Linked DNA regions of Arabidopsis thaliana. The protein of the gene in region 1 interacts with the protein of each later gene in a pairwise test. Each region holds a gene or a part of one and is shown in the gene's direction. Other genes may lie near its edges. The genes, in order: UCL1 and CLF.

Region 1 (7,241 bases):
ACGCTTCCAACACTCTCCTTACGATCTGTACTTGCTCTACTGAAGCTTCTGCGAATAAAATCAGATCATCTGCAAAGCAAATATGTGAGAGCTTCGGCCCCCCACGCGACAAATTAATCGGTTTCCATTGCTTAGCATTGATGGATCTTTCAATTAAATGACAGAGTCTCTCCATGCACAGCACAAACAAATACGGGGACAAAAGATCACCCTGTCTCAGACCTCGCAATGGCTTGAAAGGTGTAGTCTTCTCACCATTCCATAGCAAGCTCATATCCGGGCCTGAAACACACTGCATTATCCAAGTCACCCAGACCTCAGAAAACCCTGCTGCGACAAGCGTATCTGACAAAAAATCCCACCTTATTCTGTCATAGGCCTTCTCTAAATCCAGCTTTAGAAGCATCCAACCCTTACTCCCTTTCTTTCTTCTCATAGAGTGAACCTAAATGCAAGATATTAGTGCTAAATTGCTTTAAAAATAATAATTTAAATTCAATTGGATTTTATACCATAAATGGTTTTCATGGTTCATCATTGTGGGATAGATGCATGTTTTGGCCTGGACTTGAAAATTTGTAGCATTACAAAATATTCTCTCCATTTCTAGATGAAAGATTTTGGGTTGACTTCCCTAAACACCAAATATAGTGTTTATTGTTTATACTTACTTTTTTGTGGTATGGATATCTTTGAAGCATTAATATATAATTTATTATCAGAATTAACTTGATTTACAGATTGTATTAGATTAGGGATTTGATATTTCAGAGATTTATTAGGTTGTTATGTATTCTTTTAAAAACAAAAAAGAAAAGAAAAGAAAAGTAAATCTCATCAGTTTTAGTTTTAATTTTAAGAAATACAAGCCGAAATGGAAATATAAGAAAGGAGAGATATATCCAATTGAGATTGAAGGGATAACTTTTGACTAGAAATTTATTTAAAATAACTACTTTCAAGTTTTATTTACTCAGTGGCAAAAAGCCGAAATTAGTAAAAAGCAATATCTTCTATGTACGCACATCGGTATATGTTACATTATTTTTGGTAGATTGTACGAGATTTTTCTCCTACATTTTATTTAATAACGAAATATAAATTTTATTCAAACATTATGTGGGATCGATATCTCACTAACATCCTCTATCATAACCAGATAAACTTCCTCCAAACATACATTAAATAACTGAAAACCAAGCAATAGAGTAAACACATAGTAAACTAACTTGGCGATCAACCTTCATATACACATGAGTAATCTGGACTATCTAGTCTCTTGAGATAAAGTCATGACACAAGCGTATCAGGGTTGTTAGCGTAAAAATATCCCTAATATCTAACTATATTAAACCAACAACCAACGCCGAATCCATCTCCAACACCACCCTTCTAAATATTTTCTCCCAAGCTACAACAAGCCATTAATACACAGCCCACAATTCCGCTAATAGGCTGAGCAAACACCAATATTAAAAACAAAACTACCTAACCACGTCCCATACTCATCACGGATCACACCTCCCGCTGTTGCCTTCCCCGGGTTTCCATGCGAGGCTCCGTCGGTATTGATTGTAACCCATCCCTCACTTGGTTTCCCAAACAGTCGGTTTCAAGGTTATAAGTTCGAAGAGGAATTAGGTGAAACGATAGAGGTTAATTCCTTGGGAGACAAGGCATTTTTGATTCTACTGTTACTTGTTTCTCAGTTTTGGCTTTATGGATGATGTAAAACTCTATTTACTTCACAGATGACGAGAGAGAGATTAAGGTGTTCGAGCTAGACAATGGCATGGAAGTAATATCGCAACAATGTCAGGATTTTCTCAGAGTTCTTTCCAAATGTTTTATCCTAGATTTCTCTGAAATTTGTTTTAGGTCAAAGCTGCTTTCTTTATAATTGTGAGTACCAATCATCTTTAATAAAAAAGCTTACGTTTCAGCTTCATTTTCGGTATAGACACACACAGCAACTACAATATCTTCATCTTTGGTATCATAACAGAAGTGTAGAAAACATTAAATCAAGTCACGTCCGCAAAAGTTTACTACTCTCTCTGTTTTGGAATGATTGATTTTATGAGTTTTCACATATATTAAAAAAATTAATTAATATTTAAATATAAATATTATTTTTGGTATTAATTTGTTTCTTTATTACTTTAAACCAATAGTAATTTTATACAATAAATTATTTACAATCAATATTTTTTAAAAGTTTATGATTCGTCATAATTAATTAATAAAAAAGGCATGGTAAAGCAAAAAATAAATCTCTTAAGAAACAAGGAAAAAGACATCGAAATTATTTGGTTGACTTCACTAGACCCAGGCTACTTTCAAGTCAATAAGAGACATTTGTTAGTTATAAGACATATCTCTTAACATAAGAATTGTGTTAAGAGACCATCAATAAGGATGCTCTAATAATCTTCCTTTCACTGCGTTACAAACGTTTGCTATGGATTTGTTCTCTTATCGCAAAAACAATACACGATTTGTGCCAAGGCCACATTTTATGTAATAATTTTGGGTGCCACACTAATCAATAATTTTCTGTTAGTTGGTCAAATTGTCATTCTAAAAGTCATTTTTACAAAGGCTTTAACCCTAAAATTTGTAACATTTATTATTCATTTTTGATTTGTTGTGTCTTAGTCTCATATATTTGTTGGGCTTTTGTTTTTGTTTATTTAGAATATATAATCAATCACCTATGAAACATAATTAAATCTTTTTGCCTAAGTACAAACACTATTTGGGGTCCCTGTTTTGGTGTAGTTTAGGGAAGTCAACCCAAAATATTTTTGTCTACAAATGGAGAGAGTATTTACTCTTTAAGTACTGCTATTAAATTTCAATTCAACAAATGATGAACCATGAAAATCATTAATGGTATAAAATCGAATAGAATATGAATTAATATTCTTTAGCAAATTAGAACTCATATTTTTCATTTAGGTTCAATGTATTCATTCTTATTTATGGGAATGAGTGAATTTTGATTTTATATTTTATTGTTTCTTTAAAAGTTAAAAACACAACCATTTGGAACCTAAAATGTTAGGACTTTTAGGTAAGTATACGTAGTATATATATATTATGTGACTCACAAATCACAAACAATCAAAGTAGCAAAATGGTAGATTGGTCTACCTTACCGGAGGAGCTCCTCCATTTTATCGCCGCCCGATCGTTCTCCCTAGTTGAATACAAGCGTTTCAGCAGCATCTGTGTATCATGGCACTCCTCTGTCTCCGGCGTGAAGAAGAATCCTTTCCATAGGCGCCCTCTCATTGACTTCAACCCCATCGCCCCAAGTGAGACCCTTCTAGAGGACCATGTCTTCAGCTGCAACCCCGGCGCGTTCCTCTCACGTGCAGCCTTCTTCCGAGTCACTCTCTCCTCCTCTCCGAGTAAGGGCTGGATAATCAAATCCGACATGGACACCAACTCCGGGAGATTCCATCTCCTCAACCCTCTCTCACGTTTTCCATTGCGTATTTCTTCCGAGAGCCTTGATCTTTTGGATTTCACTGTCTCCGAGATTCAAGAATCTTATGCGGTTCTTAAGGACGCCAAGGGAAGACTACCGAATCCAGGATACCAAAGAAGTGCTCTTGTCAAAGTGAAGGAAGGAGATGATCATCATCATGGAATTCTCGGAATCGGTAGGGATGGAACAATCAACTACTGGAATGGAAATGTCTTGAACGGATTCAAACAAATGGGTCATCACTTCTCCGACATTATAGTTCACAAAGGAGTAACTTACGTCTTGGATTCAAAAGGCATCGTTTGGTGCATTAATTCCGATCTTGAAATGTCAAGGTACGAAACTTCACTCGATGAAAACATGACTAATGGCTGTAGGAGATATTACATGAGATTTGTGGATTGCTGTGGAGAGCTTTACGTTATCAAACGCCTCCCCAAAGAGAATTCTCGAAAGAGAAAATCGACCTTATTTCAATTTTCAAGAACGGCTGGTTTCAAGGTTTACAAGATAGATAAGGAATTAGCCAAATGGGTAGAAGTTAAGACCTTGGGAGACAATGCATTTGTGATGGCTACCGATACTTGTTTCTCGGTTTTGGCTCATGAGTATTACGGATGCCTCCCAAACTCTATTTACTTCATTGAGGATTTAGAGCCTAAGGTGTTCCAGCTAGACAATGGTAATGGAAGTAGTATCACCAGAAAGTCGGAATCTTCCGAGAGTTCCTTCGAAATGTTTTTTCCTAGCTTTCTTTGAATCTTGTGTAGGTTAAACCTACTTTCTTTATAATTAAGAGTACCAATCATCTCTAATAAAATAATTACTTTTCATCTTTATAGACAAAGCAATGCAACGTAACTAAAATATCTTCATTTTCCGGTATCATGATGAAGCATAGATATGCCTTAGTTAGTACTGCGTCAGAAGATTGACGTGCACAGTAACAAGATATTTTTATCAAAATTTCTCACAAAAATATCTCGTAACAAATTTGTAATAAACGATTGCTAATATTTCTTACAGATTAGGATGTAGCTGAACTATATTTATTTTCTTAAAAATATCTTTTTGTGACTAATTTTTATTTGTAGCAAAATATACAAACTGTGACAAACCAAAAAAAATGGCTACAAATATTTGTCGCAACATAAACTATATGACTCTAAACATTGCGAAAGGTCAAAGTCTGCATTTTGCTGTAATGTCCAATAACACTTACTGATACAGTGTTTTGGTGGCAAAGTGAGACATTAATAAATAATTTAAATTTCAATGTTTGTAGCAAGATCTCTCAAGCAAGTAAGAGATCTCATAGTAAGTTAATCCTAACCATATGTGTGCACTTTATAATCAGGATATATTTTAGCACTAAATGTTTTTTATTTAACTTGTAGAGACAACGAGAAAGAATTGAGTCTTCCATGTTGCTTGTATTGAGAAAGACTCATCGTAGACGTGATGAAATTTATGTGGATAGAAGGGCACAAATATTTAATGTAGAAATTCAAAGGCAGATAGGTCACAAGCTTCTAATGGGACAACCAGTGAATGCTCATAGGTCACACAACTTGATGAGGATGAAATGTATGTTCTATGGTTTCTATAAACGGTCAAGAGTTATGTTTTCTTGTGTTCTTTGAATGAACTTGGGTATACTTATAAAGGAATGAACTTGGGTAGATACTTAGTATGAGAATCATTTGTTTTCAATACTGATTTTCTTTGTCTCCTATTTTATATCCCAATTAGTTAAGTTTATGAATACATATTGTAATTAAATGAAAGTTTATGAAAATGTATTGTAAATTGTCTGTTTTTTGCATTACGTATCGGCTAAGAAAATGAAGGATCTTTGGTTTTGAAGAACATCATTCGATGTATGAGCAAAGAGAAAAACTATGTTGATGTAATATTTAAAATTTCCTTAGAACGAAAAGTTTCTACCTTGCAGCAGTAGCTGGCCACTTTGGTCGAGTACATGAACCAGTATATGCCGGAAGTAGCAACTACCAACTTCCGCTCTGCTCAGCCCACACAAGGCGCATAAACTTATATATCTGGCCACTTGCTTCAACAACAATGCTGACAATTCTACCAAAAAGTTAGAGTTGGATCTAATGATCTTCATTGGCTGAAGTCACATCCATCATTCCGAACCGAACCAAGTCTGCAATGAGAACAACCAGCAAGATAACAATGATAATGAAGACAATACTGGTGCCATTTCGTGATGAAAATTCTCTGATGGACAACCTCTTTTCTTTCTTATCAATTCGGACTTTATTTAGCTTAAAGAAAGCTAATCAAACTGGTAAATGTGTTCATAAGCTTTCAAAACTTTGTTGAATATTTGCTTTTGGGTTTGATTTTTAGGGTTGAATGTTTGACACAACGTATGATATTAATATGAAAAAATCTATTAATTTTGGTATCAACTATTTGGTACACGATTTATAGAACTTGCTTTTTTCTAACAAATTGGCGCCAACAAGAATCGTATTTTCAAAAATTTAAATACTTTGTCATAAACATTTTGAAACTTTCTAAAGTAGAACAAAATCTTTTTCATAGCTAGTCGTAGCAAATTTGTTATATAAATTTTGTGACTATATGAAGCAATTTTCTACCAAGTTTCTGAAGCTAATGTCTCCCAGTAAGGAAAAACCTTTCTCCATGGAGTTATGCTACTTCCTATGCCGGCACAAATTGCTCACACCCTAGATTCTTATATCTGAATTAATTCCGCTTCGCTTTATCTTCAGTATGTTCAGGTGGAGAAGAGGAAGATGAATGTAGCTGCTGCAACTCAAATTAGATTTTGTGATTGACAATGGCAATGGTTGTTCCACATTATATAATAAGTTGTTGCAACGAATGCTAGTCAATATCATTATTACAATAAGCCAGAACTTTTCAAGTTATAGTATAGGATATATAGTGAGAATAAGCAAAGAGAAATATACACTATGAGTAAGAATGTTTGTGTGAGAATAAGCAAGGATATGTAGTTATTCTCACTATGAGTAAGAATGTTTAACCGTCAAAAAAAAAGTAAGAGTGTTTAATGAATCAAATCAAGATTATTGAAAAAATCCTTAAGTCGAAAGATCATATTATTTCCCATCTTGCTAGACTCACATGGCTTTAATGAATTTTACAAAAATATGAACATTAATAGCATATTAGGATAGCATGGTTTTCATAATTGCTATTAAAGATAGTATTTGGGATTTGAATCTGATAACTATATCATAGCATTTCAACAATGCTAAGCCCTATAATAGCAAACCAAAAAGCTAAAATGGATTACTCTTTTGTAAGACTTGTTATGCTTTATATGTAATTTTTATGAAAAAATATATTTAAAATATATATCTATGACCAAATTTAGTCTATATAAAAATATATTAAATATAAAATGTAAAATGTGTCAATTTTATTTGAAAAAAATAGTATCAATAAAATGCTACAACGTTATATATCGTGGCGTAAATAATGAGCTACCATTGAATCGAACATACCATTTAATTAATGTTATGGTTGAACAACCTAAAATAGCATTCAAAAAAATGTAGTGGCGAATGGAGAAAAAAAGGCTGATATCGCACAAAATACTCCAAAATTTCTTATTTAAACTAAATAACTGATGAGATTTAAATAATAATAATAATAATAAATCTTTGAAATATCATAAATATCACCTAAATCAAACAAATAAAATCTTTAAATCCCTAATCCAACA
Region 2 (7,327 bases), on another chromosome or scaffold:
TGGAACAGTTTATTCATTGAATCCTGATGCATCTCCCAAAGATGATATCAAGTCAGATTCGTTACCTCAATCTCTTCATATAGTCTTGAAAGCGGTAATGGAGCATAAGCATATCACGCAGAGAAACACTGATGAAGTACTTGAAGATATCAGAAAAGCTCTGTCAAGTGTAAACCATTCAAGCTTTTCTACAAACCATCAGGAGACTAAGACTCTTACTGTGGAGGATAGACTGGATATGGAGTGTAATATCAGCAAATCAATTCACAGAATCATTGACGTTATCGAGGGAGTCAGTCTTAAAGATGAGAGGCATGTGTCCAACAGAGAATCAGAAAGGCTTTCAGGTTACACTGCTCGCGTCTTGCAATGGAAAACTACAGAGCTAAGTAGTGTATTGCAGCGATTTCTTCAAGCTTGTTACGATCTATTAGACAGAAAAGCAGACATGAAGAAGTTTGCTCAAGAGCTAAGCTCTGTGTTGGAATGGATGGTGAACCACTGTTTTTCTCTTCAAGATGTTTCAACCATGAGAGATGAGATTAAGAAGCAGTTCGAGTGGGATGAATCACGGAGCGGAAGCGAAGTTGATATTGGAATATTTCGTCAGGTTTCAGAAGCAGAGAAGCTTAGAACGGAAGATGTTTCCTTTTTGGCTTGCAAAGATCAGTTGATTGAAGACAAACCTGGTAATCAAAACTTGTCGCGCAAAACGGTTGAAGAAGAGGCAAATGACAAAACAGCGAGGTAAATATGAATGCTTAAAGACTTCATGTCAGCAAAATCATACATTTTATCTCTGATGCATCCAATGGTTTTCTTGTTGCAGTGCTTCAGAGAACGAGCTCAAGCTGGAGGAAAAACAAAACATGCGAACCGTAAGTTACAAGCAGAAGAAAATCGATACCATTACATTGAGAGTTGTTTTTGTCCAAGACCAATCTGTTTTATGTGTTTGATGATTCAGGAATTGGAAATCGCTGCTGCTTCAGAAAAGTTGGCCGAGTGTCAAGAGACGATTCTAAACCTGGGAAAGCAGCTCAAGGCATTGACTAACTCAAAGGAAACAGCTTTACTTTCAGAAACACTCATGTACGACGTTACAGACAAATCGAACAACCTACCTGATGCACAACCTTCACATGAGACTACTAAACCAGAGAAGAGATTGACCAGCCAGAGATCATCTCTTTTGGATCAGATGAAGGCAGAAGATCACAACACCGGGGAATCCAAGGATCAGAAACCGCAAGCAGCAGATAAAAACGGAAAGGGAGGAAACAGCTCTGTTTACAATGAAACCATTGAGGCACTAGAACAGATTCTTCTCTCAGACAAAAGCAAAGGCTCCGACTCAAACTGCTTTGCCATTGTTCCTCAGAAAAAGACCGGCGGAGTTAAGAGCCTCTGGAGAAAGCTGTTGGGGAGAAATAAGAAAGGTAAGAGCAAGAAGGTCCCTAATCCATTTGCCAACTAAGAAGATGGTGGCATCTGTCATCTAGACTATAATCTAATACCTTAATCCTGTTTCTTTATATGGTCCCAAAGACCCAAACTATGCAAACTAAACTGTCATTTTCTAGATTTTTTTGGCAGTATATATATAATCTCCACGTAGAGTATTACTCTATAAGATGATCATTCTGCTTTATTCCACTTTTAGTCTCAGAAAGGATACAATCAGTAATCTTGACCCAATGAATCTTTAGCAGGGTTAATGTAAATCTTCAACGTAGACACTAAATGCATAAGATCATTTGATATAATGTCATCTCAGGTCTCAAAAGAACAAATTGTGGCCTTTAAAAGAGACTTCTCAATCTCTGTACAGAACAAACTTGGCGATGTCGTTAAGTCCAGCTTCCTTGTAGCACTGAGCAACCCGTTCCAGTGATTCGTCCCATGTCCCTTCAAGTGACGCTAGATTCAGTAAGAACGCAGCCTCGTCCAAAGATGCCTGAGAATTACAAGTTTTGTTTCAAGCCTTTGTATCCATAAGCATGATATGAGTATCTGATAATGAATACAGGCAAAGAACAAACCTGAGCCATTGGCTTTCCCCTGTCTATATCCCGTTGTTTTCCTTCTCCTGTAACTCTCTCCTTATACTGCGCAATTTGCTCTTCTCCCCACTCTGCTATTTGAGCAATTTCCTGGGAACCCGTTTCATATGTTCAACACTTTTTTCCCTTCTCTTTTCGATTACCAAAATTGCTTGTCGATAGTCAAGGAATTGTACCTCATATCTGCATCCTAAGGTCCACCACGAAGATTTCAAAGCACCCCTAGCTGCGTCTTTCGCTTCTAAGTTACGCCCAAGTCTACAAAATATATAGAGGTCTTAGAGTTTTCTAGAAAGGACGTAAGCATTTACCTGGGGGTCGTTCACAAGGGAGAAAGAGGGATGATGAGAAAGGATCATACGAACTTCAGTAAAACTTTTGCGTTGAAAGCGAATGGCCGGGCAAATCCGGGAAAGTTCCCTCTCTTTGTATAAAACTCGGTAGCCACCAAAGCTGAAACCTTGTATTAGCACGTGAAGATAGTTTAAAAAGAGAAAACACGTCAACTACAACAGGATAGATATAATTACTAGCCTTACATGGTCTCCATTCTCGATATGCCGAATAACTTTTCGTTCAAGAGAATCTGGAAACAATCCAACCTGAATTACAAAGCTAATAATCATATCCCAGTATCCATGTGCAGAAAAGATTCTGATATTAACAGGCTCAATATATGTACCTTTCTTAAAAGATAGGCATCTAAATCCATCAGTCTTGAACTGGCAAAGTCACCCTTACTGTAAAGTTTCTTCCCAGCTTCACCAGCAGCATTGAAGATTTCTTGGCTGCATTCTTCGGGTTTGGAAACATCTTCTTCCACCAATATTCTGTGAATGAACTGATCAACCTGAATGTTGGCCAATGAAGTCAGATATGAGAATGAACACTCAACAAAAATAACCCTAAATTAACGCATCAGTAATGCTATAAAAAGACTCATTACATTATTAGCTAGAAACCAAACCCCATGTTTCTGAACTTCCACCACAGGCATCTCCATACTGCAAACACCACAAACAATGATAAGCTACAAAAGAAGAGAAACATGACGATATTAAAAAAGCAAGGAGGATCTAACCTAGAAGGAGCTGTTGGCCACCGTAATAGAGCAATTGAAGAACCTGAAAAAGGAAAGTCATACAAACTTAATATGAAAGTGTTACAACCTCAGATAAGAACTTATGTACAAGTCCAGAATCATACCCGGGCTCATTTTCACCAACGGAATAGTAAGAGGTAACAAGCCTTGCTTGGCACCAGGAGAAACTATGGATTTACCTGATCCAATGTCATTACCACAAGCAAAAGTCACCATTCCGCAAGTTAACAAACAAAAACTTCGAAAATACGATCAGCAAGTCAGTGTAAGATTGATTTACCTCTAGCTGTGAATATATTCAGCAGCTGCATCAGATGCTTAGGAGGCTGAGCTTTTGCTATATCCTTAATGAAACATTCATGTTCTGCACATAATCAATCGTTAACTTCGATTCACTGATTGTTCAAATTCGGCACCGTAAGAATCATAAACCAATCTCAAGCCATCGCACAGCTTCCAGAAGTTGCAAATGAAATAGCGAAGATGTGAATCCCTCTCACCAGATAGTGAAGAAGAAGAGCAAAAGGATCTGGCGAAGTTTCTGCTGCCATGGAGAAGTATCAGTCTACGTTTCCGTCCGAAAACCGCCGCGCCGCGATGCATCTCAGAGTTTTCCGATCGCCGTACTGTTTCTCGTCCGATGAGATTACAGAGAGACTTCGAAAAGCTGTTGCTGAAAAAAAAAACAAAAAATAAAGCCCAAACAAATAGGGTTTAAGAGCCCATTAAATCAGAGCCCAGCAACGTTCGTGTTTGTTTTGTTCAGTTGATATAGAACCAGTCTCGAACTCTAGTAGATTCGTTGTCTCGAGCTACGTGATATTCCGGTAAACCGTCGCCGGAGATGTACAGTAGATAATTCAAATCGAGCTGCCACGTCGCTATTTTCCCACCAACTTTTTTTTTTTTAAATAATTGGAAAAAGTTTCTAATTTACACGCTTCCCAATTCGTAAACAATGTTCTTTAAAAGTAAAACGAAATTTTTTTTGGATTTGAAGATAAAAGATCCAAAATAAAAACAAAATTGAAGATAAATTTTTAGGGTTTATAACGACCCGCCAAATTCCTTCTCTCCTCCAACATTTCAGATTTCGCGACCCGGATCTTAACCCGGACCCGCATTTGTTTCGGTTCCGATCTGGTTTCTTGACAATGGCGTCAGAAGCTTCGCCTTCTTCTTCGGCCACCAGATCGGAGCCACCCAAAGACTCTCCGGTGCGTCAATCGTTTTTTTTTTTTTTCTTACTTTCTAAAAATGGAACTTTTTTCTTTGTGCTATTGAGGCATTGACTTTGATTTGCTTTAGTTTGAGTGAAGAGAACGAAACTCGATGGCTTGTTTGAGCTTCTCTATATGCTCGTTTTTAGATCTAGAGATTGCTGGATTGTGAGATATGAAGTTGTTTTTGGGTTCGTTTAGGAACCATTTTTGCTGCAATTGATAGTTTCTCTCATTGAACACTGTGTAAAGGAACCTCATTTTGATGTTTCAGGCGGAGGAGAGAGGTCCAGCTTCTAAGGAAGTATCAGAAGTAATAGAATCGCTAAAGAAGAAGCTTGCAGCTGATAGGTGTATATCAATAAAGGTTGCTATTTTTGTTTAGTTTTTTTTTTGTATGTTTTATGTGTTTCTGAATCTGATTGTTAGAAATTGATGTGTTTGTAACCAGAAAAGGATTGATGAAAACAAGAAGAATTTGTTTGCTATTACTCAAAGTTTTATGAGGTCTTCTATGGAACGAGGAGGTAGCTGTAAAGATGGCAGTGATCTTTTAGTTAAGAGGCAAAGAGATTCGCCAGGTATGAAAAGCGGAATCGATGAAAGTAATAACAACAGATATGTAGAAGATGGACCTGCCAGTTCAGGAATGGTTCAAGGATCTAGTGTCCCTGTCAAAATTTCCTTACGTCCTATCAAAATGCCTGATATCAAACGTTTGTCACCTTATACCACATGGGTTTTTCTGGACAGGTATGTTGACATTAATGTCGCAAGAGTACTTGAAAATATTCAAGTTGAAATGTAAGCCCCTCGCATAGTATCTTAACGTTATAATCACTCTTGAAATGATGCAGAAATCAAAGAATGACTGAAGACCAGTCTGTAGTGGGTCGAAGGAGAATTTATTATGATCAAACTGGCGGGGAAGCGCTTATCTGCAGTGATAGTGAAGAGGAGGCCATTGACGACGAAGAAGAAAAAAGAGATTTTTTGGAGCCTGAAGATTATATTATTCGGTTAGTATTAAATGGCAGGAGTTTAATCATTCTTGCATTTTGGTCTCTTAGTGTGAATCTCTTGTCTGCTATGTCAACTGTTATGCTGGTTTGTTCTCACTTATATTGTTGGATTAAATTTCCCTTCGTTTCTTCAGCATGACCCTTGAGCAACTAGGTCTTTCAGACTCAGTCCTGGCGGAACTAGCAAGTTTCTTGTCTAGAAGTACTAGTGAAATCAAGGTATCAACAACTTTTTTCTCTGCCTATTGCTTGTGTGAACTATCATGTGCTATTTTCTTTAGAATCAAGCACTTCAGTTGTAGGATTTCAAAACAGAGTGAGGGATGCATTGTTTAAGGAAATCCAATTAGTATTGTTCCAGCCCTTTCCCAATTGGCTTTTTGCAGAGATATGAACACCGACCATCTTATACAGGCAAGACATGGAGTGCTTATGAAGGAAAAAGAAGTATCCGAGAGTGGCGATAATCAAGCAGAGAGCTCCCTTCTCAACAAAGATATGGAAGGAGCATTAGATTCTTTCGATAACCTGTTCTGCCGTAGATGCCTTGTTAGTCCATTTGATTTTCTCAGGCTAATGTTTCATGGGTTATTGCTTAATGATCGAGCAAACATTGGTCTCTTTTTAACTTTTGTATGCATCTATGCAGGTATTTGATTGCCGGCTTCATGGGTGTTCACAGGATCTCATTTTTCCGGTGAGTTTAGTGCCAACCGAAAAAATCTTACTATAACTTTAGTGTTACTTATCTAATTTTATGGATTTTTAGGCTGAGAAACCAGCTCCATGGTGTCCTCCTGTAGATGAAAATTTAACCTGTGGTGCAAACTGCTATAAAACGGTAAATTTGTTATTTTCTCGTTGCTAAGCTCATCTCCTAGAAAGACTGGTTTAACAAAAAGCGTTGTTTTCAATTTATCAGCTTCTCAAGTCTGGAAGATTTCCGGGATATGGCACCATTGAAGGTAAAACTGGCACTTCATCAGATGGTGCAGGTACTAAAACCACACCCACGAAGTTCTCCAGCAAACTTAATGGGAGAAAACCAAAGACCTTCCCAAGTGAAAGTGCATCGTCTAATGAAAAGTGCGCACTAGAAACAAGTGACTCAGAGAATGGACTACAGCAGGATACCAATTCCGATAAAGTTTCATCATCGCCAAAGGTGAAAGGTAGTGGGAGACGAGTAGGTCGTAAGAGGAACAAAAACCGAGTTGCTGAGCGAGTTCCTCGTAAGACTCAGAAGAGGCAGAAGAAGACAGAAGCCTCGGATAGTGATTCCATCGCCAGTGGAAGTTGTTCACCCAGCGATGCAAAACATAAAGATAATGAAGATGCTACTTCCTCTTCTCAGAAGCATGTAAAATCTGGGAACTCCGGGAAGTCAAGGAAGAATGGCACTCCTGCCGAAGTCTCCAATAATTCTGTGAAGGATGACGTTCCTGTTTGCCAGTCAAATGAGGTTGCGTCAGAGCTTGATGCGCCGGGTAGTGATGAAAGTCTAAGGAAAGAAGAGTTTATGGGTGAAACTGTATCTCGAGGAAGATTGGCTACAAATAAGTTGTGGAGACCACTTGAGAAAAGCCTTTTTGATAAAGGTGTTGAGATTTTTGGAATGAATAGGTGGGTAATTTTGATGTATTTAGCTACTGCTAAATTATCATTCTGCTTCAGGTTTTTCAATTTGTGGAATATAGTCATATGGATTCTTTGTTTCTTTGCAGCTGCTTGATTGCTAGAAATCTTTTGAGTGGTTTCAAATCATGTTGGGAGGTCTTCCAATACATGACGTGCTCGGAAAATAAAGCTTCCTTCTTTGGAGGTGATGGATTGAATCCTGATGGCTCTTCCAAGTTCGATATCAATGGAAATATGGTATATTAACACTAAACCTTTTTGACTTTGTTTACAAATTCCTGA

What was found.
Region 2: the proteins of UCL1 (region 1) and CLF interact in a two-hybrid assay, tested with the Arabidopsis thaliana proteins (one study listed by BioGRID).

Annotation. Positions count from the first base shown.
Region 1 is NC_003070.9:24,449,110-24,456,350, reverse strand, and holds UCL1 (ascorbic acid mannose pathway regulator (DUF295)), read left to right. Parts: upstream 1-3,139; coding exon 3,140-4,255; downstream 4,256-7,241.
Region 2 is NC_003071.7:9,951,251-9,958,577, forward strand, and holds the start of CLF (SET domain-containing protein), read left to right. Parts: upstream 1-3,841; 5' UTR 3,842-4,319; coding exon 4,320-4,382; intron 4,383-4,659; coding exon 4,660-4,752; intron 4,753-4,836; coding exon 4,837-5,138; intron 5,139-5,242; coding exon 5,243-5,404; intron 5,405-5,541; coding exon 5,542-5,626; intron 5,627-5,763; exon of another isoform or gene 5,764-5,797; coding exon of another isoform or gene 5,798-5,821; coding exon 5,822-5,956; intron 5,957-6,056; coding exon 6,057-6,104; intron 6,105-6,176; coding exon 6,177-6,248; intron 6,249-6,329; coding exon 6,330-7,030; intron 7,031-7,131; coding exon 7,132-7,282; intron 7,283-7,327. Other genes in the region: AT2G23360 (filament-like protein (DUF869)), read left to right, coding at 1-747, 830-878, 968-1,477; AT2G23370 (cyclin delta-3), read right to left, coding at 1,817-1,957, 2,043-2,153, 2,240-2,321, 2,429-2,523, 2,603-2,665, 2,746-2,913, 3,010-3,067, 3,145-3,187 and 3 more. UniProt on the Arabidopsis thaliana protein: Polycomb group (PcG) protein. Catalytic subunit of some PcG multiprotein complex, which methylates 'Lys-27' of histone H3, leading to transcriptional repression of the affected target genes, mainly abscisic acid (ABA) responsive elements.